Astyanax mexicanus: one gene and its partner. The protein of the gene in region 1 purifies or fractionates together with the protein of each later gene. This does not show direct contact. Links are inferred from orthologs where the notes say so. Each region holds a gene or a part of one and is shown in the gene's direction. Other genes may lie near its edges. The genes, in order: gtpbp4 and mrto4.

The links.
Region 2: the proteins of gtpbp4 (region 1) and mrto4 purify together in Homo sapiens (affinity purification with mass spectrometry; 3 studies listed by BioGRID and IntAct, counting the BioPlex papers as one, with this or other methods). This does not show direct contact. The link is inferred for Astyanax mexicanus from reciprocal best matches to the Homo sapiens genes GTPBP4 and MRTO4.

The regions. Positions count from the first base shown.
Region 1 is NC_064411.1:28,249,893-28,265,973, reverse strand, and holds the start of gtpbp4 (nucleolar GTP-binding protein 1), read left to right. Parts: upstream 1-8,302; 5' UTR 8,303-8,397; coding exon 8,398-8,445; intron 8,446-9,874; coding exon 9,875-10,045; intron 10,046-10,491; coding exon 10,492-10,595; intron 10,596-10,776; coding exon 10,777-10,913; intron 10,914-11,016; coding exon 11,017-11,117; intron 11,118-11,965; coding exon 11,966-12,058; intron 12,059-14,317; coding exon 14,318-14,509; intron 14,510-14,602; coding exon 14,603-14,668; intron 14,669-15,424; coding exon 15,425-15,514; intron 15,515-16,081. Other genes in the region: slco5a1a (solute carrier organic anion transporter family member 5A1a), read left to right, coding at 882-1,080, 1,273-1,432, 3,095-3,330, 4,246-4,310, 4,994-5,448. UniProt on the Homo sapiens protein: Involved in the biogenesis of the 60S ribosomal subunit. Acts as a TP53 repressor, preventing TP53 stabilization and cell cycle arrest.
Region 2 is NC_064431.1:3,983,901-3,998,856, forward strand, and holds mrto4 (mRNA turnover protein 4 homolog), read left to right. Parts: upstream 1-7,459; 5' UTR 7,460-7,557; coding exon 7,558-7,585; intron 7,586-8,620; coding exon 8,621-8,679; intron 8,680-9,577; coding exon 9,578-9,681; intron 9,682-9,802; coding exon 9,803-9,884; intron 9,885-9,973; coding exon 9,974-10,041; intron 10,042-10,235; coding exon 10,236-10,387; intron 10,388-11,857; coding exon 11,858-11,934; intron 11,935-13,031; coding exon 13,032-13,184; 3' UTR 13,185-13,611; downstream 13,612-14,956. Other genes in the region: iffo2b (intermediate filament family orphan 2), read right to left, coding at 4,132-4,637. UniProt on the Homo sapiens protein: Component of the ribosome assembly machinery. Nuclear paralog of the ribosomal protein P0, it binds pre-60S subunits at an early stage of assembly in the nucleolus, and is replaced by P0 in cytoplasmic pre-60S subunits and mature 80S ribosomes.

The DNA.
Region 1 (16,081 bases):
AGTAACGCTGTTTGGTATCACAATGTCAATGTAAAAAGCAATAAATTAATTAATTAATCTTAATTAGGGAACATTGGAAAAGGGTTCAGACAGAGTGGCCAGTCATTATATTATTACCTTAACAGAGTGGACTAGGTGTAAGCATGTTAGTGCTGTGATGCTAACAGACAAAGCAGTCATCCTTGAATGGGTTAGCAGCAACATTGATGCAATTTTTGCTTGGTTTTGTGTCTTAAAGGGGCACTAAACCCGCAGTTGACTCAACTCATATTTGAAAAAGCCTGAAAAATGGGAGGGGTAGTTTGGGAGAGGCCCTGGATGATGTATGGGTTTAGAGATAAGCAGAAGGAATAGCTGATTGGCTGAGCAGCAGCAGCAGTGTACCTCTGATAGTGGTGAGACGCAGGTGGTTGGGTGTCAGCAGGGGGGGCGTTATTATTGATAGACTGATCTGCATATTGTGAGTGTTTTGTGTACCAAAGTACACAGAAACATCCTCCACGCCTATAGCACAGTTGAACCTGAGAGAGCACTGCGGAGGCAGAAATGTCTACAATAAAAGGCTTTTTTTTAAGGTTAGAAAATGTTCATAAAAATGTTAAGCAGGTCTGGTATGTTTAATTACTTTCAAAGGAACACATTTTAGCTATTATTGGAAAAAACATGGTTTATGGTTTAGTAGTTATTGAAACGCTGCTGCTGCTGCTACTAATGGGGATGCTGCTACTACATCAGGTTAAGTAGAAGTTTGGTGTGTGGGTTCTTTGTGAAACTATGCCTCACTCTACCTCCATATTGTGATAAAGAAGAAAATACAAGTAATCACACCACCCTACTGTAAGTGTTTATTTCTCTCTCCTGTGGTGTTGTGTGTGTTGCAGGGTTGATCATTGTGCCGAGTGCTGGTGTGGGGATAGTGCTGGGAGGATATATCATAAAGAAGCTGAAGCTGGGCGCGAGAGAGTCGGCTAAACTAGCCATGATCTGTAGTGGAGTGTCTTTGCTCTGTTTCTCCACACTTTTCATCGTTGGCTGTGAGAGCATAAATTTAGGAGGAATCAACATTCCCTACACTACTGGGTATGAATATTCAACATCAATGATCTATTTACTCATTTATCAGCAAATAATATATCAGCTGATTATGTACTAGTGGAACTCCAAGTTCCAAGTCCTGCTGGAAAATAAAATCCACTGTTTTGCCTAATTTGATTATTCTCTCTCTTTCTCTCTCTCTCTCTCTATTTCTTTCTCCCTTCACACTCTTTTCAGGCCTACCTTGACTTTGTCTCATCGGAATCTAACTGGAGGGTGTAATGTGAACTGTGGTTGCCGGATGCATGACTACGCTCCAGTGTGCGGTTCAGATGGAATTACGTATTTTAACCCCTGCCTGGCTGGCTGCAACAGTGTCTCCAACGACAGCTCAGGAGTAAGGGCTTATACTTATTTCTAACAGAGTTTTGATCAAAAGAGTTTCGAGATTTTAAATCAATATTTCTCTCAAAAGAAAATGCAAAAATGTATCTATCCTGTAATGGCCCGAAAGAGGTTTCTTCACATTAACTGCTCACTTTAGGTGCTTCCACAACATTTCGATTGAATTAAGTTCAGGACTTTGACTTAGTTGAACAACTTGTGTCATTGTCTTGCTGCATGACCCACCTTCTCTGTTAAGATTCAGCTCATGGACTGATGTCCTGATATTTTCCTTTCTTTTAAATTAGATTTATATGTACTGTAGTCTAATGTTTGTATTTGTGCAGCACTTTGGTCAAGTAATGTTGTTTAAAATGTACTATAATTATAAATAAATTGACTAACATTTTAGAATTCTCTGATAAAATGTAGGATTTATGGTTCCGTCTCACTTGCTTAAATCAATTCAGTTTGATTAAGTAATGATATTGTCTCTAAAAAAGTTTTATTTCCCAGTGTGATAAATAACAAATGTCAGGACAACACACTTGTAACACACACAGCATTGTTAATTTTAATTTAATTTATTGATTTTGATCTTTTCATTAAAAAGTGTATTAGATTTAGTTATTGTTAGTTTTAGTCTAGTGTTTAATAATGTAAAGTGTATGTACACACTTATTAAATACATATCTGTTAAATTAAACACATTTCAGATCAGGAAATTATAGAAGAAATGTAGAAGAAAAACGAGCAATATTCCTTTTAAAGTATTGGATATAATGTTATATTAAGACTAAACAGGACCAAAAATTATCTTGTCAGTTTTGCAATATTATTACTGTGTCTACATTATTCGTTACCAAAGCACTTTTCTCTAATGTGTGTGAGTATGTCCAGTAGGGTTGTGCCATACCGTATCGTTCGCCAACGTTTTTGAATATCATGAACAACATTTTACACTGAAATATCGTGCTATATCACTCACCCCTAATTATCACATCAGGGTACTACTTTTTTTTTTTAACTGGGTTTATCAAAAGAAAATTTCACACTGTTCTCATTTCACATTTAATATCTACTAGAGACAGATTATATATCATTTATTTTACTTTTATTTTGGATATATGGAGATATTGGGAGTGCATTATTAGTATCATAACATTCTGGATCATTTAATTCTGTTACAAATCTGATAACATTCTTGTCTCAATTAGCTTGCAATATCATATGTTATGCAATAATAAAATGTAATTTTCATTTTGTTGCAGTAGTGTACTCTTGAAATATGTTTTCTTATTTAATATATATTTAATATTCTATTTTTTTAATTCAATGTTTTAATACCATAAAATGCTGTGATATTATTTTAGAGCCATATTACCCACCCCTAATGTCAATTATGCAGGTTATAAGCAGTCCTTTTTGTGATCACATAAAGCTTTGTTTGGATAAGCAAGTAAATCTGCATAAAGTTTGGGTTGTCGATATAACCTGTTAAAACATATATGTAATAAATTAGCAGTAAGATTATTCAATTATTAATATACTTAATCATGATAGCCCTAATAAAATCCAGTTATTTTAAACAAATTCTTCCCATGAAAACAACATATGGATTCATTTTCTTTAGACAGTGAATACACACATAGTAATCCTTTTTTTTTCCTTACAGATGAAGAACTATTCGGACTGTGCGTGTGTACAGAGCAGACAGGTGATCACTCCCTCCGGAGGAAATCACGAGCTGCAACTGGTCATTGTGAAGACGTACTTAAACGAGAATGGCTATGCGCTTGCTGGCAAATGCGAGCGCACCTGTGGAACTCTCATAACCTTCCTCATCTTCCTCTTCATCGTCACCCTCATCACTGCTTGTGCCCAGCCTTCGGCTATCATTGTTACCCTCAGGTATATTTCAGGCTTTCTCTCTATGTAGAAAAACGTATACATTTTGCCATTTTAACAATTGAATGAGTGGTTAATCTATATCTGTCATGCTTTCCTCTGTACTTTAATTATGAATTTACCTCAGCAGTGCTATCCTAAACATGAATTTACTTCAGCAGTGCAATTTTAACCATACATTTATCTCAGCAATGCTACTCAAGTCAGAAAATTTACACAGATCAAGGCAGTCTTTTGATAAACAATCAAATGCTCAGCTAATGTTACTTTCCTGCCTTGTACAGCTCATATCTTTCAGCTGGAAAACAGACAGTTTGTAAACAAAAGTGAAAAGTGATGCTGAGCACTTTATGTTGTTCGAATAGAGCCTGTAAACTTAAATTGTCCCTTTCTGTCCAACAGTGATTTAAAAAAAAATCCTGAAGTTAGAGGAAACCCTGCAATAAGACTTCAAATAATTTATACAAAACAATGGTTAATTTATTTTATCTTCTATTTTATTCTGTGTCTTACACTGTTTGGTTGCCAAATATTTGGCAAGATTCTCACAGCAAAATGTGTTTTTGCCAAAATCTTATTTTCTGACTAAATCTGATATTTAGTTTAAGCTGTTCACACCATCTATTTAATGTCTGACATCTGTCTGAATAGTTCACGCTTTGTAAGTGGTATGCAGTGTGACAGCAGTGCTTCACGTTAAGTTTTACTTTAATCCTTGAGTCATTGGGGAGTGGAACTTTGATCTCTGGAATGATGGTGTTCCAGTCAGTACTTCTGGGATGAGTTGGGGAGTTGGATGAGGTGGGGTAGTGGTCATCCAACTTACTGACCTTGCCAACAATGACATTTCTAATGTTTACACGTGAAAATGGTGAGAGCTTGTGGTTAAAATACATATCTATCCTTATTTATCCATAGGTCTGTGGAGGAACAGGAGCGGCCGTTTGCTCTGGGAATGCAGTTTGTTCTTCTCAGGACTCTTGGTATGGACACACGCAAAAAGTGTTGTATAAAATTATTAGGCGAATAATATGAGTGTAATATAATGTAGGACATTGTTTATATTGAGTGTGACTATCAAAGCAGCGTGTAAGACTGGTGGAGTAGAACATGCATGCAAACTGTGATTAAAAACCAACCAGGGTTATTCCACCAAATATTGATTTCTGAACTCTTACAACTTTATGAATATGAACTTATTTGAGGTCTGAAAGCTCTGCATCTTTTTTTGTTATTTCCGACATTTCTCATTTTCTGCAAATAAATGTGCCAAATGACAATGTATGTATTTGAAATTTGTGAGAAATGTTGTCTGTAGTTTATAGAATAAAACAGCAATGTTCATTTTACTCAAACATATACCTATAAATAGCAAAATCAGAGAAACTTAATCAGAAACTGAAGTGGTCTCTTCATTATTTTCCATAACTGTATTTTTTAAAAGGAAATTAAAATATTAGCTAGTAAACAACTGCTTAACTATTTTGAACTGCATGTCTGTAGGTCTATATGTGGTCATATGTCAATCAAATTAGCCATTATTATGCTTATACAAATGTTAAACCACATAAAATCAGTATCAGTGTCATTTTACATGTTAAATTTAAAAGTGTGTTAAATGATTGGGGAGAAAATGAACTAACTGTACTCGTCTCTCTCCCTCCAGCCTACATACCTACTCCCATCTATTTTGGCGCAGTGATTGACACCACCTGCATGCTGTGGCAGCAGGACTGTGGCGTTCACGGCTCCTGCTGGGAGTATGATGTCACTTCCCTGCGCTTTGTCTACTTTGGCTTGGCCGCCAGCCTCAAGTTCCTGGGCTTCCTCTTCATCTTCCTCACCTGGTACTCGCTGAAGCGGCGCGAGGACCACACGCACTCGCACACCCGCCCCGTATCACCACTGGACACAGTGAGCCAGCTGATTTGCCACGCAGGGGGGCACAAGGGTCACGCCCGTACACGTTCCTGTCCCGTCTTCCTGCCCCGCCCCCCTGAACCCTGCCACACTGCTATAATAGCATCCGGTCAGCCCCTCAGTCGTGGCAACAGTTGTCCTGGCAATGGCCTGAAAGCAATAACTCCACCGATCAGGTCTCTGGAGAAGGTGGTGATATGAGATATGAGGAATTTTGCAGATATAAACACACACATACACACACGCGCATTATTAAACATACTTATAGGACATGCATACCTGAAGAACAGGTGGAGTTTCCAGCTTTGCTCCAAATGTCCAAATGTGAAGAGTTCCCTCATCTTTGCCATTGCTGGTGCCTTTTTCTTCTGAATTAGACACGCACTCATGCACAAGGTTTGGAAAACACTGGACTCAATACCTCAAAAGGACCTGTACCTCTTTACTTATCCTTACACAGACCCATGGCCAGTATCTCCTTCTTCTTTTACATGCATATATACACACACAAACACACACACACACTCATAGTAAAAAAAAATAAAATAAAAAAAATAGTTGCACCCAGAAGGAAACGTTGGATTGCTATTCTGAAGGACGATAAATGTTCCAAGGATCAGGAAATAATAACAAAAAAATAAATAAACTTGATATGGGCATTAGTTATTGATCTACACATACAGAGGTGGCATCTCTCTGTCTGATGTCGGACCACGAGTCACAGTACACAAGCCTTCTGGTCAGCATTAATTTTTTTGTTTGTTTGTTTGTTTTTTGCAAAAAAACTCAGTTCAGAAGCTCTCGTTCAGTTGTGTTGTAAACTGCAGAAAAGCAATTGCAGAGCTGTCACAGAGTGATTAACGAAGAGTGGTAAAAACCAAGCAAATATCTAGCAGGTTTAATATCTAGACCAGTCGGCAACAGTGAGTTAACAGTGAACAGGAACTTGACTACCTACAGCCAATAGTATAGCATAAAAAGAAAGAACCACTTGATAACCAAGATATCTTCTACGTGGCATCGCTAGTGCTCGCGTGCATTTAGCTCTTGCTTCTCGTTTAAAACACGTTTTTGAGAGAAGGCAGATGAAGAAAATTGTGAGACGACTCGCAATTACAGCCCAACCAGTTGTGTAGTGTGAACAACACAATGACCTGATGACTCAAAAGGACATATATTGTGAACCAGACATAACAAAACATGTCAGACGTCTCAGTATGGAGTTGTCCATTCCTGCAGGCTTAGCTGTAGAGGTGGAGAGTTGACCATCTAAATGTGACTATGACCATCTACCCACTAAGTCACGTTCCTGTTGAATGATTCCTTCTGGGTAACTATTATTTTTTATGATGAGTATAGACACACACACACACACACTCTCTTTCTCTCTCTCTCTCTCATGGTTGTTTTTACGGAGCCAGTACTGTATCCCTTTCTTCTTACCCGTACACGCACAAAGTCTCTTGATTATATTGATACATTTTACAGGGTTTTTTTGCACACACTTGTCTGTCCCCAGTCCTGTCAGTTCCTCTCATTGTCATCTAGTGTGTTTTCATCCGTCAGCACCGTTAAAAAGACTCTGGTATTGCTGGTACTGCGGGAACACTCACATTCTAGTCCACCAAGCCTCTGATTGGTCACTCACCTCGTGGCTTGATTGGTTGATTGATTAGTGAATTGGGCTGTTCATATCAGTTTCAGGTATTGTGGACTGCAGTAAGGAGGAATAAGCTGGGACTCAAACTGGAAACTATACTATGCAAACTTTCCTCTCATTCTTAAAAACAACTGTAAAGATTCAACCCTACAGGTCTGAACACTCTCACACGAAATCGAAACAAGTTGTGTTTTGGAGATTGGAGAAGTATTGACAAAGTGAAAAAGTATTACCCGCAGTGGAAACCGTCTCACTGCTGATCTGCACTAAAGGGACTGTGTGTCTTCTACACTGGATTCAAGTAATAATGGAAGAGGAATTAAGTATTGTTTCAAAGTGTTTCAAACTGTTTTTCTTATCAGAAAAAAAACTGCAACTGGGTGTTTTAATGTCTAAATTAAAGATATTTTGAAAAAAAAAAACTGTTGGTTGTCTTTTCCTGGATATCCACACTTTTGCAAATGTGCTGTTTTAAATGATGAATACAACACTTCATTATAAGTCCAACACAAAGACATTTTTTGTTTGCTTATTGTTTGTGAGCAAAATGACCATTGACAGAATGTACTTTTGCAGACTGTAAACTATTATGAGTCCAGTGTCAGTCCTTAGTTTATATTGCAAAGGACAATCATCCAGGTCTAAAACAATAGGGGGCAGTAGAGCAGAAGTAATGGATTTTTTTAAGTATTTGCCTAACTTGTAATACCATGCTTTAAAGCATGTAAACCATATAGATTCCTCCATACAGAACAGTTTCATTGCCATTTCATTAAATGAACTGCTGTTTCAGCTCCACTGACCACATTTTTATCTGAATTTATCACACTTTGACTTGACTTGGCCCCATTACAAAACATTACCTTTATTCTGCTTTAACTATTCTTTGTTAGAACAACTTGTGTGCTTATGGTCATTGTCTTGCTGCATGACCCACAATTTTGTGAGATTCAGCTCCCAGACCTGTGTCCTTAAAGTTTCCTACTGAATTTGCTGGAATAGTTCTGAATGTATTGTTCCATTAATAAAAAATATATATTTATATTCATCTGTCCACAAAACATGCTTCCAGTAGCTATGTGAGCTTTAGCAGACTGTACATTGGCAGCAATGTTATTTTTAAGTGCAAAATTCAAAGACCATTAAGAGTGAGATGTTCTTCTTAACTTTAACTTTACATTTAGCTAACAATATAAGTATATTAATGCTATAATGTCGATCTATCTTATGTCTTACATTATTAAACCACCTTAAACATGTTAAATGTGGAGAGAAACAGATAAAGGACTACAATCTGCAGCTAATAGAACTACATAGACCATACTACATAAACCAGCCATGTGTTTAACCACGTGGTGGCAGTGTGGGCGCGTGCTTGTCTCGCGTGCGTGTCTGCGCTGTTGTGCGCATGCGCGGCTGACGCTTGGCCGCGTGTTGAGCTGTACTGGGTCTTTTCCGGCGGTGAGGAGCGGAGCACGGCGCGCGGAGACATGGCGCTCTACAACTTTAAAAAGATCATGGTGGTCCCCACCGCCAAGGTACGAGCTGCCGGGCCCGAGCCCCGGCCCCGCGGGTTTATACGGGGGTTAATACAGCGCGAGCGGGGGGTGTTAGCGCTGGTCGGGCGCTCGAGGGTTATAGACACGTGCTGCCGTTGGTCCGGGCTAAGTTAAAGAGCTCGTGCTAACCGGACCTGCGGCCTTAGCAGCACCAGCACCACTAACTAACCTAAAGCTCCTATGACTGACCCACACTTCCAAAAATGTAATTTCTGTGTTTTATTTATATTAAAACCAAACATATTCAGTTTAGTAGCCTATATTAGCCGCACAGACCTAAACTAACCTGCCTAACACCATGTAAACTAGATTAACTAGCTATACACAGTAAATAGAAATAGTATAGCTAATGTATTCAGTGTGTTAACCTAGCTAGATATAGGTATAAACAGTCAGTGGTGATTTGAGCCCTGTGTTTTTGGAAATGTTCTGTACTAGTCCCTGAATTCTGGATTTAAAACCAGAGTACATTAAGTGACACCACACATAATTCACACAAAATATAGAAATAGCTTTATTTACCATAAAGACTTATTTTTCTGTTGAAAACACAGATAAAAAATAAAAATATTTACAGCTGTTACAGCTATAGAATATTGCTAGCCTGCTGGCTGTATGTATTTAAAATGTCACAGATGTGAAAATATAGACATATCTTTATCCTAAACATATTTCTTCTGTTAAAACTGATAAATTAAATTATATCTAACTATAGCTACTATAGATTTAGAACATCGGTAGCCCGATGTGATGCTTTTTTTTGTCAAAATAGATTTTGAGCCGTACCTATTGATAATGTTTTGTAATGGTTAAATTATAAACAGTGCAATGTTTGTGGAAATGTATTTTTACTTAACACATCAAGTTTAGTAGCCTATATTAGCCTCAAAGACCAAATGGTTAGTTATACAACTAACCTACCTAACACCATATAAAATAGGTTAATTAGCTATACACAATTAATATAAATAGTATAGCTAGTTAACTTATATCTTCGATGTTATAGATGAGATTGGTTGTTAGCGGTGTGAAACAACCAGTGGTGGTTTGAGCCCTATGTTTTGGGAATGTTCTGTACTAGTACTGGAATTCTGAATATATAACCTATGTACATTAAGTGATACCTCCTAAAATTTAAACAAAATATAGAAAATAGAATGTATTCATCTATAACTATAGAACATGGTTAGCCTGCTAGCTGTATGTATTTAATGTGTCAAGAGATGTGACCTTTTTTACCAGTATATATTTTGTTTTATAATAAAAGACTAGATAAACTAGTCAGGTAATATAAATAGCAAGCTAATATATTTAGTGTGTTAACCTAGCAAGATGTGCATTATCTACAGTAGTCATTTGTATGTGATGTACCTAAATGTAATCCCTTTTCTTCTGTTTATTTTGACAGGACTTCATAGATGTGACGCTGTCCAAAACACAACGTAAAACCCCCACTGTGATCCATAAACACTATCAGATCCACCGCATCCGTCATTTCTACATGCGCAAGGTCAAGTTCACCCAGCAGAACTACCACGACCGCCTGACGCAGATCCTCACTGACTTCCCAAAGCTGGATGTGAGTTAAAGCAGTTAAACATGGAAATTGCTATTGCATGTTGTTACAATACAATAGCTGTTACAATAGCTTTATTGTTTATAGAATATTTATTTTATTAATATATTGTCATTGTAAGACAATTGTGTGCAATCCATTTAAGAACCAATGAAATATAAATTATTAAGACCATTTGGACATCATTATTGGAGTACATATTTTTTAAATATCCTAAATAAATTAATTTGTCAACATATCGGCGCCTTCACGGCCATTTAGGAGCTTTCCTTTCTAAGATTAATATAGTCAGTACTGCTAATATCAGCAAATAGTATTAAGGTCGTGTACATACAGTATATTAGACTGTAAGTTGATGTAATTATTGTGGCTGGTCTATTTGTTTCTGTTCATCTGGAAGGTGTTACATTTGGTTTAAGTATTGTTTTTTTTTTCTCCCTGTCTTTTAGGATATCCACCCATTCTATGCTGATCTGATGAATGTGTTGTACGATAAGGACCATTACAAGCTGGCTCTGGGTCAGATCAACATTGCCAAGAACCTAATTGATAAGTAAGTATTCTAGTTCTAGTAAGAGGTCTAGTTAAAGAAAAGTCACTATTAAACATATATTACAAGTATGATTAATTTGCTTCTGATTTCCTTATCATCCGGGTGAAAACCTAATACGGCATCTGTGTAATATATATATATATATCTGTGTAATGTGTTTATTCCTTGTGTGTTAATGTAGCGTTGCTAAAGACTATGTGCGCCTGATGAAGTATGGCGACTCTTTATATCGCTGTAAGCAGCTGAAGAGAGCAGCACTCGGACGCATGTGTACCATCTTAAAGAGACAGAAACAGAGTCTGGAGTACCTGGAGCAAGGTAAACACTCACACAAAATGAAAGCAAAGCAAGCCATCTAATGTCCCTAACTTTACAGAGGATGAGTAATGATTTTTTTTTTCTTGTGCTTGTATATTATTAGTTCGTCAGCATCTCTCACGTCTGCCTACCATTGATCCAAACACCAGAACACTGTTGCTTTGTGGATACCCTAATGTCGGCAAATCCAGCTTCATCAACAAGGTGTGTGTGTGATAGAGAGGGAAATGAGAATGTTACGATTACATTTTTTATGGAACATTATTAAGTTCAAGGTATAATTTGTGGGGTGCGTGTATGTTTTGAAAAAAAAAAGTTGGACCCAGAAGATGTTAGATTGTAATTATTCTAATATTGGTCATTATTTATTAAGCTACACATACATAAGTGGCGTGAAACACAACATGCCAGACGTCTCTGCATGGAGTTGTAGAGGTTCCTAATGGAGTCCTGTAATAATCCATATCCACATGCAGCTAAAATATTCATACTCGGCTCCTAAAGATTGTACAGTTGGGAAAATCTGGAGTGTTGATGGGTGAATCCAGTAGCATCCTGCCCTTTATCAATCAGGGATAGGACTGCTGAAGCAACTGGCCATGGCATGTATATGTGTCTTTAAGGCAAGCTCAGAAGAATACAGGACATTGGAATAGCGCACTGCATGTGTGTTATAGAAAAGTAGGGCCTCTTGTTGCAGGACGTCATTGACATAACTTTGGGCAGTCAAAGTGCCTGTAATGAAGACAAAAAGTGATCTAGCATTGCACGAATTTGAACCCCAAACCATGACACCAGGCCTTCTGCCCTCTGTTATGTATGGCAATAAATCATTGATTGTGGCTCAGATCACTTTGCCTCCACACACTGATTTATTGGTCGCCTTTGTCCATGACAGTCAGGCATGATTAACAAGTTTCAGTCCTGTTGGTTGATTTCTTCTGGGTGCAAATATTTTGTTTGTGTGAAAGTAGAAGTAATGTTATTAGTAACCAGAGCTGAGACAGTTTGTGCAGTCTGTGTTGTAATAATCGAGGACTGTGTGCACACAGGTAACCCGTGCAGATGTGGAGGTACAGCCATATGCCTTCACTACTAAATCTCTGTTTGTGGGTCACATGGACTACAAGTATCTGCGCTGGCAGGTGAGTGTTATGTTGCTTCATTAAGCTTTAACTATGTATCTATAAAAGGCTGTAAGAAAATTCTAGTATGCTTATGATAGGGATATTAGATTCAGTTTAAAATGTTTTAAATATTAAGTAACAACAGCAAGCTAAGCTTCAGAATCCGTGTATCATTCGTTCATTTGATATTCAATTGAGAATCAAAATCGGAAAATTAAAAAACCAATTCGTTTTTTCGTTTTTGAATATAATACCAAAAAACGAATAACGGCTTGTATTTTGTATTTTTATTTGGTTATCCAAACAAAAATTGGAAATTTAAAAAACGGACCAGGAGCCGAATTTGATTTTGATTTTGAACTTGACCCATTTGTGTGCCCCGGAAGTTACTGATTTGTTTATTCTTGGTGGGTTTCTGTTGCGCGGGAGTTCACTGCAGTGTTATCTACACAGTCTGTATTGCTGTAGGCAGCATGGCCGGACTGGAACCACATTCTGGCCTAATTAAAGATCTTTTTGAAGGTGGTAAGACGCATGAAGAGATTTCGTGCACGTTGCAGCAAATGGGGATCCAGCGATGTTCTGCAATGAGTGTTAGAAGGTTCTGTGTTCAACACGACCTTAAGCGAAAAAGACATGTATCGAACACAGAATTGGAGAGGGCCGTTGAGGATGGAGAGTTTTATCTTGTTCAGAGGAACTAAACGCGTTGCAGTGAAAGAAGACGATATGACAACAGAAAAAATCGGCAGGATCTTTCAGGTGTTTGTCTAACGTTCCGTAGCTAAATGTCATATTTATTTAATGTTATTCTGTGAATTGCCGCCTACTAAATATGACATTTAGCTACGGAACGTTAGACAAACACCTGAAAGATCCTGCCGATTTTTTCTGTTGTCATATCGTCTTCTTTCACTGCAACGCGTTTAGTTCCTCTGAACAAGATAAAACTCTCCATCCTCAACTCCATCCAAAGCCTACAGCAATACAGACTGTGTAGATAACACTGCAGTGAACTCCCGCGCAACAGAAACCCACCAAGAATAAACAAATCAGTAACTTCCGGGGCACACAAATGGGTCAAGTTCAAAATCAAAATCAAATTCGGCTCCTGGTCCGTTTTTTAAATTTCCAATTTTTGTTTGGATAACCAAATAAAAATACAAAATACAAGCCGTTATTCGTTTTTTGGTATTATATTCAAAAACGAAAAAACGAAAAAACGAATTGGTTTTTTAATTTTCCGATTTTGATTCTCAATTGAATATCAAATGAACGAATGATACACGGATTCTTCAGGCCCCCTACACCTTCTTTTTGAGTGTAACCCTTAGGGGGTGAAATCCTCCCCCTAAGAATTGCGACAATCCTCAAGCACCCAACCTAGTTGCTGCTGGTTAACTAGATAACTTTAAGGCCTAATTGTATATCTTCAGAAAGGGGAGAGATAAAATTAATTAATATTGTCCGTTTCTTAATTTGTCTGTAAAGGGGAGCTGAAATTAGCTTTGATTTGCTTTGATTTTATTTTATTTTCTCGTTAAGCCTTAAATTTTGCAGCCCCTGCCGTCTGTTGCGCCTTTTAAGGTGGAGCGGGAAAGTTAGCTAGCTACTAAGACAAACTACTAGCAATCTTTTTATGAAGCATTTGGCCATAAAACATTAAAACTACACAATAAACTTTGGTAATACTGTGCTAATTCTCACTTTTAACAGGGAAAATATTTACATTTGTGTGTTTCTTATTAGCGATTCTCATACTCCTCAGTTTTAAGTGTTCCTCTGAAAAATCTCCGTATGAAGGCCTAACAAGCCCTATCCCTTCCCCTAACCTACCCCCCAGCCTAACAAGAATCTGGACACTCCTAATGCTCGGCATGCACACGCAAAACAGAGGGCTAGGGGTAAGTGGTAGGGCAAAGGGGTGAAATAGGATTAGGCCATAGTATTAGTAGTGGTGCACCCTACCCAGCACATTTGAGAGGATTGCCTGCTTTAACACAGTAACTGCATATTGCTAAAAAGGGTTGTAAATGAGCTGATTAGTTGAACCATGTGTGTTGGGAGATAGGAAAGCTGTACATTTGCAGGGCAGAAGGAGTGTCAGGACCATCTATGGATGTGTTCATTTGTGCTTGATGTGTACAGCTGTAACATTTAAGTAAATCGAGTGTTATATAGTAAAAATGGATAATGGATAAAACAGGTGCCGAGTTCTTAGTGGACCTTGGATTTAGTTCAGAGGAGGGTCTAAATGCTTGTCTTGACCGTCTGCAGGTGGTGGACACCCCAGGTATCTTGGACCACCCTCTGGAAGAGCGGAACACGATTGAGATGCAGGCGATCACAGCGCTTGCTCACCTGCGGGCTGCTGTGCTGTACGTGATGGACCCCTCTGAGCAGTGTGGACACACCCTCTCACAGCAGTTCGAACTGTTCAGCAACATCAGACCCCTGTTCGCTAATAAGGTCAGTTTTTTTTCTTTCTTTTTCTGACTCTCTGACACACACCACTCTCTGAATGTTAGATTATTAATCTGTGTTTGTGTGTGTGTTCTGCAGCCCCTGATTATAGTTGCCAATAAGTGTGATGTGAAGAAGATAAGTGAGCTGTCAGAAGAGAATCAGGTGAGTTTTCTGTTCTGTTACACAAAGGAATCCTATAGGATTTAAATATTTTGGGGGAGTAAAACCTGATTTAATTGTTCTTCAGTTTGTGTGAATCATATCTGTTGTGTTGTAGTTGAGCACATGACAGTGGGTGAGGAGCCTGGTGGATCATTGATTAGCAGTTTTAGTAACTGTTAGCATTGGTTATGTTCTGTATCCTTAAGGGATAGTTATTGTAATGTTAAGAAACTAGATAGAAGCTTCAGTAAAAGTAAAGCAGAGTGGTGGATCTGTGAGGTTTCTCTCCTCTTTAGCATGTATTGAATTAATTAGTGGTGTGAGAAAAACTGTCTAGATTCCCAAAGCAGAGAATATGTATAGGTTATGTGCACAGATTGGAGTTTGTTTTGTTTCTGGGAATGGGACAGTATATTGTAATAAAAGGCATCAGTGTGAATTCTGTGAATATTCCTGCAGAGCCACATTATAAAACAGGTGCCTACACTAAAACACGGTGATGTGAGAGGGTCTTCTCAGGAAATGCTAGGACCCCAAACTCTCCATAATGCATGATTTAAAAAAAATTATTGTTCTGTGCAGTTACACGTTCTCACTACATAGGTCTCTAAACTCCCCAAGTATATGGACCATCTCTTAAATCTGATCCCTTTACACTCAATTTTGAATCTGAAATTGAAATCTGAAAGCCATAATTGTAAAGTATGTGTAATGATGTGTGTGTGCGTGTGTGTGTGTGTGTGTGTCTCTGTGTAGAAACTCTTTACAGATATCTTGGCTGAGGGAATTCCAGTGATTGAGACCAGCACTCTGACAGAAGAGGGAGTCATGCAGGTTAAAACAGAGGTAAGAATACTTACTGTGTGTGAGTAATATGGGACATATAGAAGTATTTTTAAAAAAAATGAGCCCAAAGTGGCACAATACCTATTTTGAAAGTGTAATGGATGAGCTTCGTTTTAGTTTACAGACAAACAAAACTTAATATGTTTTTTTTTTTTTTAAAGGTACAGTACCATTACAGTATTGCATTATCAGTAATGTAAAAAATTAAGAAGTTCCACTAAGAGCAAAATGAGAGTATTTCTTTCAGTTAATGCATGTAGTCAAACAACTGCTTCAAAAAAAAAGTTGAAACTCAAAAATCTTTTAGGATTTAAAAGAGGCGGGTGCAGGACACAAATCCAAGGATATTAGTGAACTGGAGCCTGTGGTCCCCCCCCCCCCCCCCCCCTCTCCTCCCTTCGGCTATATTTACGTAAACCATGGAGGAGGGCTCATCTTCTTGCACCACCTTAAAGCCCTTCTTTACTGAAGCAATGTGTGGTGGTTCTTACTCACAAATAATAATTTGAAAGCTTTACATTTTGCTAATAAATATAATGTACATTTATAGTTGTATTGAACAAATAG
Region 2 (14,956 bases), on another chromosome or scaffold:
AAAAAACATCCGTACACTAGTAAAAACCTGATGTGAAGATCATTTAACTTTATAAGTGGTTCTCCAAAATGAGAACCAAAATGGGTTCCTGTGTTCCACATGATTCAAATAACTCTTTCTAAATACTTTTTAAAAATTATTTTAATTTATAATGCATATTGTAGGTAGCCAGCTGCTGCAGGTATAAGGTACAATACCAGTCAAGAGCTCATTCAGTGTTTTTCTTTATTTCTTTCTTAATCTAAACCTGATGAACTGAGATGGTGATTTGAGGTGATTTAATTGGGATGAGCTGGAGCTTCACAGCGTGAAGGAAAAGCAGCAGCTATTGTTCAGCACCTCCAGGAACTCCTTCCTTCAAGACGCTGAGAAAACTATTCCAGGGGACTCTCCCTCATGAAGATACTGAGATTAAAATCTCACCAAGAGTCTGCAGATTTGTCCTCAAAGATACATGTGCTATTTAGAAGAATCTAAAGTATAAAATATATTCTGTTTGTTTACAGAATAATTCTGCATGTGTTCCTGTATAGTTTTTAAATAGTCTTCCATATTAAATTTACAATGTAAAAAAAATCATTAAAAGAAAGAAAACACATTGAATATTAAGAGATGTTTCCAAACTTTTGATACAGTGTTGGTACTGTATGTTTTCCCAACAAAGTGGCAACGCAGTATACTGTATGTTTAGCCAGCCATTTGTTGGTGAATGTCCACTGTTTTCATAAAGCAAATGAATCCCAAAAGCTCATAGAAAAGAGAGCAATGCAGAAAAATACAGAGAACAGGATGAAATGTCCCACATTCCTTTCAAATGACTTCAAACACCTAAGTAATTTTTGATCAAGCGCCCACATACGGCTCAGTCGCTGCTCATTAGAGCCAGAAGTTCTACAGAAGCATCTCCAGGCAACTCCCTTAACAAACAAACAAGCCTGAAAAACACAGAAGAGAAGTTTCCTTCTCATAAACTGGCGACTACTGTTTCCTTTTTTCTGCCACAAGTGATTCAGCTCAGAGATGTGATAATTATCTGATGATACTGTGTGTGAGGGGAAAACAGGGAAGTGTAGGGGGCTTCTAGTGCCTCCAGTGTGGGACGGTTCCAGAGTATATACCGTACAGTACATAACATCATCAAAAGATTCAGTGTAAAGTACAAGTCAGCCAACAGTCCATACTGGATGCTGGTGATCTTCGGACCCTCAGGTGGCACTGCGTTAAAATAGGATATGATTCTGTACTGAATATCCACAGAAAATTGTTCAGTTAAATGTCCCATATTCATTCCTTCCAAACAACTTCAAACACCTTAGCCATTTATGATCAAGTATCCATAAGTAGGTAATTACAGCCAGAAGTTTTACAGAAGTATCTCCAAGAAATGTCCAAGTATGTATTATAAGAAAGCCAGTCAACTATGGAAAAACAACTATTTAACACTATTTAAAGGAACAATATGTGAGTTCTGAGAGTAAATAATTTCTGCCACATGCTAATGCACCAGTATCTCAGACCAAAATTAATTGTTTATTGTTTATTAAGCCTCTCCTGCTTGATTATTACAATGGTGTTACAAAGACCAGGAAAAGCAGCTACTAAACACACTTTAGAATCTTCAGCCTGAATGCTATGTTTGTTAGCATTGCAGCTCCAACTCTACCTAGGCCAACTGTTAGCATTGCTGCTCCAACCCTGCTGAGCCAGGCTTATAGCATCATGGCTAACTTGGTGCAACTCTGCTAAGCCTGACTGTTACTGTGTAATTGTGACTATCCTGATCCAAACGGCCAAAGATCCGAACAACGTCATTACAGAAAAGTCAATCAATTTGGCGACCAACTTTATTAAGTTATTTCTAGTTATGCAGGACCAGCTTTTCATCTATTTGAATAGGGAGAGACCACAATTCTGGAAACTGAAGGTCAGATTACTGTTTAAAAAAGACATTTTAAATCGTGATAAAGACTAGTAGTAGCGTTTGTCTTAATAAAGCACAAAAAATGAGATTATTCATACTGGTATGGATAGTGAGCTTGCACAGATCTCCATAATGAGGAAAGGCTTCCCCACCAGCATGCCAACACTTGATCTCTATTGGACTGAATTGGCTCTTTTTGTTGAAGGGCTTGACTTTGACTATCCATAAACAGCGACTAAGTTTAGTGTTCCAAGAGATAGTCTCCATATTAATAACGTCTTTGACTGTATATTTTATCAAAATATTGCTAGAAAACTTAAAAAGTTAAGAAGGTGCACCATTTTCAATTCCTTCCATGGTTTGTAAGTATAACATCCTTACAAATACAGTATTAATTCACCTGAATGACCATGTGATATTACTAAAATCTAGGAAAATCATCTGTCCATTTCAGTAATTTCCCAGCTGACACATATCTGATTCATCCCATCACTCAACGACTCCATGATGTGATTCCACATCCAGTATTTGACTAAGGAAACTGTGCTGGACACCAGCCTCGCAGAACTAGAGTTAAGGACCCCTGCTGTGGGCTATGAATTACTTAGCTATGCTGAACCAAGAGCCTTCAATACCCTTTATTCATCAAAGCCTGTCCTCCAAAAACACATTTTAAAAACACGCCCCTTCCTTTGGGTTCCACTCTAAAGCAGTCTGGTCATTTTTGCTGTTCTGCTGCCAAGATATTCCACTGCAATGAATCAGTCTGCCTTCAGCAACAAAAAACATGGAGCAGAGGCTTTAAATCCAGTGCAGTTCTATTAAGCTGTAGACCTGCCATGTTTGGGAAATGTTACAAAAAGGCAGATTTCAGGACTGTACTGTAAATCAGTCTGTACTCAAGGAGTCAATGTTTGTAGGTATTAACTAATTTCAGGACCAGCTGTGGTTTTATAGCATTGGGCCTGGACTGGGGCTCAAGAGATCTAAGTCAATCTAAAGCCATATATAATCAGAACCAGTCAAAGGTTATCTTTATTCATTTCTACATTGTAGGATAAAATGCAGAATACCAAAAGTGTTTGCCTGCCACAGTCACATGACCTAATGCCAATTAAAATGGCTTGGGATGAGTTAGACCACACATGCAAAAGAAAAGCAGCCAACAAGTTCCAGACATTCAAGACTGTTCGAAAACAACTTTAGAAGACCTTTATCTCACATAGGCAAATATCTCACATATTTCACCTTAAATTATGTTTAGTTTTGAAACCACTACTATTACACTTTTACTTGAGAAAAAGCATGAGTTGATACTTCTTCTATTTCTATCTGAGTAATCAATAACTGTAACGAGTAATGATGCAGCACATAAAAAATGTATCGGAGGAAAACTATTAAACTCATCCAACATATGTGGTAAAGTAAAAGTGTAAGTAGGAGAAAAATAATACTCCAGTAGATACAGATACAGTATTTTAGTACTTAAGTACAGTAGTGAAGTAAAAATAATACTCCAGTAGATACAGATACAGTATTTTAGTACTTAAGTACAGTAGTGAAGTAAATATAATACCCCAGGAGATACAGATACAGTATTTTAGTACTTAAGTACAGTAGTGAAGTAAATATAATACCCCAGGAGATACAGATACAGTATTTTAGTACTTAAGTACAGCTCTGGAAAAAAATAAGAGACCAGTTTAGTTTCTGCTTCTCTAATGTCGCTATTTATAGGTATATGTTTGAGTAAAATGAGCATACACACTGCTTTTGGATAACTTTATGCCACTTTATGCCACAATTTGGTAAAATCAAAGAAACTCATTATTTTAAATGGTCTCTTATTTTTTCCAGATCTGTACAGTAGTGCAATAAAAAATAATAGGTAAGTTGTTAAGTTTCTGTTGCTACAAAACAACAAAAACGAAATTAATAAATGAATGAAGAACAATGTTTTAACATGTGTTTTGTTGCAGAAGTATGTATATTATTGAAATGAATTAAATATTTTTTCCCTATTTTTCATATGGTAATGTTGTAAAATTGTTTAGGGCCCCCTATTTGGGACTCAGTATAAACACAGTAGGCTGTAATGCATATATATGAATTTATGCAGTATGAAAGCACATGAAGATAAACATGCTGGAGTGCTGAAATCACTCATCATTTAAAAATATAAACTAGCCTTATTTAAACAGGACACTTACTTTCTCTTGTACTCGTCCCTCTCTCTCTTCACCTTGGCCAGTACGTTGTACAGGGCTCGGAGCTCCGGAGTGATGGTATCGATCTGCACCCCGACCCCGTCCGGATGGGTCCAGGACACCCCGGGCCCGTGCAGGGTCTCCACCCGCTCCCCGGACCTCCGCACGTGCGTGTAGCTCCAGATCGTGCCGGGCAGCCGCGGCTCCTGCGGGGAGTCGGTCTGCACCGCGACGTCCCGCGCGAACAGGCTGTGGTACCTGGCCCGCTCGGCGGCTTGCTGCAGCTGGCTCTCCAGCAGCTTGTTCCGCCGCTCCAACTCGTGGACTTTGGCGAGGAAGCAGCGGAAGCGCAGGTTCAGCGTCTTCAGGACGTGGATGTTGGAGCCCAGGTCGTTCCTCAGGGCGGCTGCGGGCGCTCCGGACCCTCCGATACCACCGATACCTCCCGGGAGGGTCGTGAGCATCGCGGCGGCCGGGGGCAGACCGTCGCCGAATAGCAGCGAGCTCATCCTGGGTTGAGCCACTGTGTGTAGCGCTGCGGTACGGCTGCTGCGGTACTGGAGCCAGCCGCTCTATCTGTATGATAGAGCTAGCGCTAGTTAGCTATCCGAACAGTCCAAACCCACTGTTTTTAACGTCTGCCCACGTCTAAAACATCCAATAAACCTCCAAACTCAAGCGGAACAGTGACGGCGAGTGACTCCACCATCACTATGCGTATTTTCCTATCTTTTCAGCATGTTTCAGCAGTTTTTAACCAGTTTGTAATTATTCAGTCCATCCAGTTAGTTAATTCGCGTCTCAAGAGCGGGTCAGCTCGACTTCATCCTGAGAAATCGCAAAAAAATAAAATAAAAGTTTTATTTCAGCTTTTATCACTTAAAACTCACGTTTTATACTACTAATAATAAAGCACTGTCACCTCCCCGAGCTGTCACCTCCAGCTCCTCTCACCGCGTGCTCCTTCAGCAGTAGCAGCAGCAGAAATTCAGCAGCCCGGTTTCTTGGTTTATATCCAGCAGATAACGGGTCGTATTACAGCGGCGCTAAAGCGCAGTGACCGCATCGAGAGCCACGCCCCCCTCCGGTCAGAGGCAGGAGTCGGACTGCAGGGCTACAGGCCACGCCCACTACAAACACGCCCATTGCATAAACCACGCCTACATTCGTTCCATGCCCATCCTATGCGTTCAGATTCTGAGGAATAAGATCATAAACTAATAGATTTTGATAAAAGTAAATAATATATATTATTTTAACTCAAGTAAAAATGTGAAACTGCTTAAAGTATAAAAAAAAATTTAAACCATATTGTCTATAATATTAGGTTAAAATGTTAACCATTTGAACCCCAGCCTATTTTGTCAGTTCCCCTTTGACTTGTTTAATAACACAGTTATGTTAGGAGACAGCCACATGCTATTATTTTCCTTCATACCAGAAGACATAGAGCTGCTCAAAAATGTCATAATTTGAGAAGTAAATGTTCCAGAATTTATAAATCTTCATGGAATTCATTATGTTTTGTTAAAAGGTATAAAAATATATAAAAAAGTATAAAGGTATATCACAGTATAAACCAATAGGGTGTCGCAATGGTATATGTTTATACTCCTCATCCAATCTATTTTTAAAATTTAGGGAGTAAAAAGTTCAGATAATTGTGTGAAAATGTGAGGAGTAGAAGTAAAAAGTCATCTAAAAAAAATACTTTCTCCAGTAAAAATAACCTTTTGAATAAGAATAGATCTCCAACAGATTAAAACACAAACAAGTCAAGTGCGTAAGGCAGAGTGGAGTGTTCACGGCGCACTTGTGCAACTTTTTTTATGAACATAGTTTGAATTGTTACTTTGCTATATTGTGATTATTACACCAACTTTATATAAAATAAAAATAGCATTAAAAAAAAACTACGCCTACGTCACAGACACAGCACTGCTGTATCTGATCCACCTGTACCAGCACAACACACACTAACACCTCATACACCACCACCATGCAAGTACAGTCACTGCAGTGCTGAGAATAATAAGACCTTCCATCAAAATAATAACAGTAATAGCTGCTCTGTGGTGAAAAACTGGATGAAAGGAAGATAATAATAATAAAGTAACAAATAAAATATGTAAATAGAAAAGTAAACAGATACAGGACTACAGTCTGTAGTTATATAGAACTATAAAGTATCCTATGTGATGGGTTTCTGTATATTTGCCACAGTAACAAGATATGATTCATTCTTTGCAAAAGCTTAAAAGCCTATTGCTGTATGTTATGACCTGTCTTTCCATCGTTATATAATAAAGGTTAATGAGCCATCATCTCTAGAGAAGAGTCAAATTATTATATAACCCTGCAAGCGTGTGCAGTCTCGAGCATCCTTCAGAAATAATCATTTCTCTGAAGCATCTCAGTACCTGCTCTTGAAACACACCTAATATGAGTACATTCTTACATAACCGTGGGCTGTTTTATAATCTGATTTCTACAAAGTGGCTCAGATGCAACTCTCCTTACATTTACTCAGAGGAAATGTGTGTTTTGTACAGCTTACCTAGCAAAAAATACTGATTCTTCTGCTTTAGAGCAATAAAAATATGCTTTGTATATCCACTTTTGTAGATTAACTAATTTAAACTGAGAAAGATTGTTGTAATGGAAAATATTTGTTCATATTGAGTAATTTTAAAGGTTTTGCAGCCGTGGCAAGAAGCAGGCTGCAATACTGCAGTAAATACATTATATTTTCAATAGTATCCAGACAGGCCTCCTGTTACTATTACAAGCTGCACATACTGCTGACAAAGCTAGTCAGGCATACTGTTGTACAGAGTGTATGTATGATAAGCTCCATAGAAAAGCACTGACCAATAGAACGGTGTTGGCTAGAGGAGTATAACGACCCCCGAGCGTTTTGGGACTGTGTGGCAGTGGAACTGTGTTCTATGGAGTGATGGACCTCCATTCAGTGCATTAGGGATGAGCTAAAGTGGCATTGTAATCCATAGCACATCATCCAACATCCGTTCCACAGTAAAATGAATGTTTTAATGTGTCAGGGAATGCAGGCAGAAAGACGTGGAGGCGGACGCAAATGCAGGTAATGCGAATTTTTATTAAATAAATAAACAATGGGGGGGGGGGGGGATAAATACAATAAATACAATGGGCAATATAGTTTAACTATATTCAATCCTTTAGAAGAATTCTCCAAATCAGTGAAAGCATTAAATTGGAAATTTGAGACTCATTTATTTTGTTGATTTTGGCGCCACCTGTTGGTGAAGAGCTGTAACTTTCTCATCACATACCTGCTTCCTGCTTCACACATGCTCTCTCAGGCTCTGCAGGCTGCGGTAGGGGGCAGTGCGGGGTTTTAGCGCAGTTTCTAAGTCTTAGAAGAAGAGAGAGAGCAACGTGAGAGCCATGCCGAAGTCGAAGAGGGATAAGAAAGGTATTTAAACCGGTTTAAAAGTGTTTTCGTCGATATTTTACCTCAATAATCTGCTTTATTCTTAAAGAAGTCACTGACTCTTCTTAGATTAGCATTAAAACCTACAGAGAAACGGCTGGGCAGCATGCCTGGCTAACAGGCAGGAGCTAAACACTACCAGCGTGTGTGTGTTTGTGTGTATGTACATAGTTTTAGTAAAAATATGGATTATTTTCTGGCTTTTCTTCCTTTTTTGTACATAAATAACAGTTAAGCTGTAGCTGGTGATGCTTTGTTAGCTTTTTACACTCATTTTGGCCCTTTTAGCTTGCTGTAAACCAGTCAACGTAGTTAACTTAAACAGTATGGGTCTGTGGATCATGTAGTAATGTGTATTTATATGTTTGTTTTTTATGTGTTTTGTGCCTTTTCATTAATTCATAAACCTTCTTTCTCTACAGTCTCCTTGAGAAAAACAGCCAAAATGAGTCTAGAAGCAAAGCAGAACCTATTTATATAGTTTTAGTAAAACAAAATAGTTTTAATAGTTTTAGTAAAAGTTTTAGTAAAAATATGGATTATTTTCTGTCTTTTCCTCCTTTTTTGTACATAAATAACAGTTAGCTTGCTGTAAACTAGTGAACGTAGTTAACTTATCCAGTATGGCTCTGTGGATCATGTTGTAATGTGTTTTTATATGTTTTGTGCCTTTTCATTAATTAGATAACCTTCTCTCTTTACAGTCTCCTTGACAAAAACAGACAAAAAGAGTCTAGAAGCAAAGCAGGAACTAATTATTTAGTTTTAGTTTTAGTAAAAATATGGATTGTTTTCTGTCTTTTCTTCCTTTTCTGTACATAAATAACAGTTAACTAACAGTTAGGCTGTAGCTGGTGATGCTTTGTTAACTTTCTACACGTGTTACACTTATTTTACCCCTGTTAGCTTGCTGTGAACTAGTGAACGCAGTTAACTTATTCAGTATGGGTCTGTGGATCAGTTTTTTTTATATGTTTTGTGCCTTTTTATTAATTAATCAACCTTCTCTCTTTACAGTCTCCTTGACAAAAACAGCCAAAAAGGGTCTAGAAGCAAAGCAGAACCTGATTGAAGAGGTTAGTGTTTTGTTCTTTTTCTTTTTTCTTCATATTAGTAAAATTAGGTCTAGTTATTTTTAATACACCCCACATTTACGTCAATTAATTTTTGTTAAGAGCAACATTACTGTTTTTAAAATGTTATCAGTGTCCTACCATGACCTTCCCTGCAACATCTAGAGAGCTAATACTATTGCATCTAAAAAAAATGAATATCATTGAAAACTATTCACATTATTTTATTACAGTAATTCAATTCAAAATGTGAAACTCATATATTATGTAGATGTATTAAACACAGAGCGATCTATTTTAAGCGTCTATTTATTTTATTGTTGATGATTATGGCTTACAGCCAATAAAAACCCAAAAATCTAAAAATTTAAGGATATTATATAAGACCGATTGGTACTTTTGTCAGTGTGGGCAGTGTGCCAAGTCCTGCTGGAAAATAAAATCCGCACCTCCATAAAAGTTGTCAGTAGCAGAGGAAAGCATGAAGTGCTGTAAGATTTTGTGGGAAAACAAAACTGCACTGACTTTAGACTTGATAATAAAACACAGTGGATCAACACCAGCAGATGACAGACATGACTCTCCAAACAAACCATCACTGATTGGTGGAAACTTCACACGAGACCTCGAGCAGTTTGGACTGTGTGTCTCTCCACTCTTCCTCCAGACTCTGCTCCCTTGATTTACAAATGAAATGTAAAATTTACTGATGGTATATTACACTAGTATATTCATTCTATAATCAGGTTGGTTTGTTGGTAGGTTGATAGATTTGTAATCTATAAAAGGACCATAAAATAGTGCCTAACATGTTATATTTCATGCTATGCAATATTCTGTAATGCCTGATTTGATATATGTGTTAATGTATTAATTTGTGTATCATCATCTCTCCTTCCAGCTCAGAAAATGTGTAGACACATACAGATACGTGTTCATATTCTCTGTGGAAAACATGAGAAACAACAAACTGAAAGATATCAGAGCAGCTTGGAAACACAGCCGGTGAGAGATACTAAATATACTTTACTGAATTTTCTGAAACCCCGTTGTTTTAGTGTATTTTATCACAGCTGGAATGCTAAGTTGTGTATTTTCTAATATAAATGCATGTTTTGTGTTTAAGTTTCTTTTTTGGAAAGAATAAGGTGATGATGATCGCACTCGGGAAAGGACCAACAGATGAATACAAGGATAATTTGCACCGGGTATGCAAATTATTTAACTATATTCACAAATAAAGTTATGAAGAAGCTTTTGTGCTGGGTTTACAACCTTGTGCTTGTCTGTCTTATAGGTCAGCAAATTTCTGAGAGGAGAGGTGGGCGTCTTGTTCACGAACAAAACCAAGGAGGAGGTCCAAGAGTAAGTGCTATAGTGTTGAAATTATGAAAAAACACATGGTCTTTGAACCAAAAGATGCACCCAAGTCTGCCTGCCTTGATTTAGTATAAATTGTCTTAATTATCTTCTTTCATAGACTGTGCTTTTGTATGGGGTTAAAATAAACTCAAATCTCGCATTTTGATGCAGTGTTGAATGTTTGTGTCCTTGTTTAGGTATTTTAACAGTTTCAAGGAGGTAGATTACGCACGGTCTGGTAATGTTGCACAGATGGCGGTGACGCTGGACGAAGGGCCGCTAGAACAGTTCACACACTCTATGGAGCCCCAGCTCAGACAGTTAGGACTGCCCACGGCTCTCAAAAAAGGTAAAAAAAAAAAAGCTTTTGGAGAAAAAGTTTTTTCATTTAAAATGATTTAAACCAACTTAATCTCTGATTTTGCTAGAAATCACATTTTACAGTATTCTATTATAAAATCAGAGACCACGCATTGTTTGCTTCTTAAGCTACGCTAAGCAACTACGAGGCCAACGTCAAATTTCATGCCTAAATCAGCAGATGCATCAAATAATGTCAATTTTTTAAGTAATCTCAGTTGATTGGCTTATCCCCTTAAAAGGCCTTGGCCCGTATACAGGCTACAAATGTAGATGATACAAAACCCTATTTCTCTACAATAAAAAAAAAAGTTATTTACATTTACATACAAACCTTTTAGGGCTTTGGAGAAACTTCCTGTCCACTCTCTTTCTACTTTACTTAATTTCAGATTAGTAAAAGGAAAAACCCAAATTCTGCATGTCTGAAAGTATACATGAAAGACTAGACATCTGTAACGAAACTAAAGGTTTGGAGGACAAGCAATGTTTGTATGATGAAAATATTGATTTAAAAAAAATAAGGTTTAGAAAGCACATTGACTTTTTTTTTTTAATTTGTTTTATTTAGACAGGTTTACTTTTAAATGTGTAAATATTTTCTTACAATTAGGATATTTAGTAATGTTTCTTATCATGCACGAAACCTTTTTATGTAACGCTAAATTAGAAAATATAGAAATATCAATTAATAGAAATCCTCAAGATTTATGCAGGTAATATCAGAAAGAAAATTGACAAAAATGCTGTCCTGTTGGTGGTTTAAGTAGTTTTTGACACTGAAGAACACACTTTAAACACTAAAGAACATACCAGTACAGACAAATTTCATTTTTTTGCTAAGGCTGATTCTGCTGGTTTTAGCCAGGTGACATACATTTGTCATTTATAGGGATAAGTGTGTCATACATTTGAAGAAAAAACATAAATAAACCTACTTTTGAGATTCCTTTTAACGTACATGGATTTTGTTAAGTTCCCACTAATGTAATTACACCCAAAAACATAATATAACTTTGGAGGTTTAGTCAAAAATGTAAATAAAACCTAATAATCTAATAACTTGCCTAATGTTGTAAGACAGGCTTATGACTGTATAATACGATTTATATAATACCATGTTATTTCTTATTATATTATGACGTCCAGGCTGATTTATATGTAACACCTCATTCATAATGATACAGGATGCAATTAGTTAAAAGTAAGCTTTGAGATGATTATGTAATCAGATAAGTGATAGTGAAGTGAATAGTTTGCACAGTGCTGTTCAGGTTCTACAAACTTAATTTACATATAAACCACATTAGTCCATAACTCTAAAGAGGTGAGCTTCAGACACTAGCCTCGACTCTCAGTTATGTTTAAATTAATGGGAAATTGTTTTAATTTGTTCCATTGATTTTAATCCGAATTTTCAAAATGCTAATGAAAATGTATAATGTGTGTTTTTTTGCAGGAGTGGTGACATTAATAAAAGATTATGAAGTGTGTAAAGAGGGAGACACGCTCACTCCTGAACAGGCTCGTATCCTGGTGAGTAGCCTTGACATCATTTCGGGCTTTAGTAGGGCTGGGAGGTTCATTTAATTAATTAAATTCATGAAAATAATGTTTTAATGTGATTTCCAAAATGGCATAATTGAGACTGTTCATCTTTACACATAGAAGCTGCAGAGTGAATCTCAGTTTATAGATATTTGTTTCTGTCAGAAACCTGTAAAGAACCTTTTTTTATGTTGCAGTGATTATATATTATATATATTTCACTCTTTTCCTTGAAATACAAGGAGGTTATTTTTGCACCATGTTTAATATAATAAATGCTGCAGTTAAGATAAAAGGGGGCTGCTTACAAAAAAAAGAATAAAATATATGGAAAACTACAGCTTGTGCATCACTTTTACATGGTGGTGTTTGTTTAAAATAAAACAACTGAAGTTGTAAACTGTGTGAGGAATACGAATCTTAATTGTAACACTCGTATTTTAACAATTGAGAATTTTTTTTTTTATTTTATTTATTTATTTTTAAACAATAACATAAAAAAAAGATCTGTACTAATCTGTACTAGACAACATTAAGAGGTATATGTGCAGTTCACAGGTGGAAATGCATACATTATGCAACCATACATTTAATTATACTTTTTAGTTTCTAATTTTCACATGGGTATTTCTTGCTCTTATAAGTAATACTGTTGTAATTAATTCTATAAAAAGTTATTCTGCACATCCTAAAAAAATGTGGCTTCATGTTTTATTGAATTTAGATAATCCCAGTACATTTCAGAATTAAAATAAATGTAATAAAAATAATGATGAACTGTCAGTTTGCTGTAGAGGAAGGTACAGTTTACACTAAATCAGGGTTCTTCGATTTGGGTCCAAAGAGACCAGTGTTTTTTTGCTGGCCTCTTTGGATTAACTCATTAATTAATGATCAGGTTAAGTAGATGTTTCTGCATGATATTATATATAAAATTCATCTGTTGGAGACTTTGCAGCTGTATTTTGTATCTGTATAAAGACCTTAAAAACACTTAGAATAAAAGTGATGTTAAAGAGTGTATTTTAAGTGAATGAAGAGTATTCTATTCACAGAGACTGATCTGATCTCTTAATTTATTCCAGAAACTCTTTGGGTTTGAAATGGCCGAATTCAAATTGAGCATAAAGTGTATGTGGAACTCTGAATCTGGAGACTTTGAGATGTTGGATGGTGATGAAGGAGACCAGAGAGATCTTGAGGAGGATGATGAAGAGGAGGATGAAGGGATTGAATAAACTGGAGGAGGAGTGTGTGGTCAATGGACTTTTTCTCTTGGATGTTTTATATCAGATTGTGCAAGCAGACCTTCAGCAGCAGGTTATATATCTGTGTGTTTTGTTTCTGGAGTGTGTGATCCAGACTAACCGTTACCCAGCAAGTTCAGTTTTGTACATCATTGTGTTTTTGATTCTTTCCTTAAAATATACATCAATAATGGAGGTTATCAGCTTCTGTGTGGAATCCACTACCTCTGATAAGATAGAAAAAAAACATAGGGCTGTTTGAAATTGTTCACAAAACTGTCAGCTTCCACATTTACAAATGACATGTAATTATTAATGGATATTGATCTCAAAATGACTATCAGTAAAATAAATGGTGGATTGGATATCAGGGAAAAAAAAATAGATTAAATCCCATCCAATCCAGATGTCATGTTAACTGTGTGTTTCAGCATTTACTATAGTTTGGAATTTTGCATAATTAAAATGAAAGCTATTCTGTTGAAAAAATAAAAAGTAAAAATATTCAGATTTTAAAGGAGAACTCCAGATTAAAATGGATTTGGGTTGTAGTGAAACGAGTGAATGAGTATAAATTTATGTAAAATAGCTCACCTCTGTTCTCCCTCAGCATTCCTAAATAAAGCGTTTTTTTAGCTGATGCTCCCAGCAAGCTTACAATGCTACTGATGGGGGCATAAATTTACCCGTGCAAAGAAAAAAAAGGCTATTTTGCACCATTAACAAGCTCAAAGTAGCTCCACGCTTTATTGGTAGAATTCTGAGAGCCCTGGCATTTAAAACAAGGCACTGAGGACTTTAAAAGTGCACAGATAGTTTATTAAAAACACTTTATATACACTTCAGGTAGGTCTCGGGGCACCACATTTTTAGAAGGTAGTCGTGAAAACCTACCGCCAAGCACAAACCAAATAGGTAGGTAAGTTTGGGGGGGAAAAGTTTGCTAAATGAATTCTGTGGAAATGCATGATTATATGCATATTATAAAGATATTTTAAACAACAGTTGGAAAGCATCAGGTAAAAGTGCTGTATTTCAGAATACTGAGGGCTAACGGAAGTGGGCTATTCTACAAAGGTTGTTACCATGTTTTACACCAAATTTCTCCTGCATTTTTTTTTCTTTAAAAAAAAAAATCAAGTCATAATACACTTAAGCTCTTTATTTTATACAGTACAAATTAGTAATTCTCTTTTTGTCTTTGGAACTAATTGAAAAAAGTATATTTTTTTCCTAAAGCAGTTTGGACTGTGTGTTTCTCCACTCTTCCTCCAGACTCTGTTCTCTTGATTTACAAATTAAATGGAACATTTACTGATGGTCCGTAATGGTAAAAAAAAAAAAAAAGTATAGGGTATGCTTTAATTTCGCGATTTGAATTTAACGATATAGCTGATCTGCAGTCATGAACAAATGCAACATTATAAGCTTGTCAAGAACTGGTTAACCTGCTAACAGTATATGATGCGTTTTTGCCCAGATTTTTTTCATCTTGGCTATTAAAGCCCAACTTAAACCATCCAAACCAGCAAAACGTGGAAGCAAATTTTCAACAAGGTGTGATATAATTAAAAATGTTTAATATAATTAATGTGCAACTTCATAATTTTGTAAAATTATTTTACTATTTTACAAACGTTTGTTCTTGTTACCAATTGTCACACCAAAAAAAAAAAAATCCTCCTAATTCTTTTTAAAAACTCAAGCCAAAAATACCTAAGCTGTTCCATTTATACAGTATAAATTAGTAATTCACTTTTTGT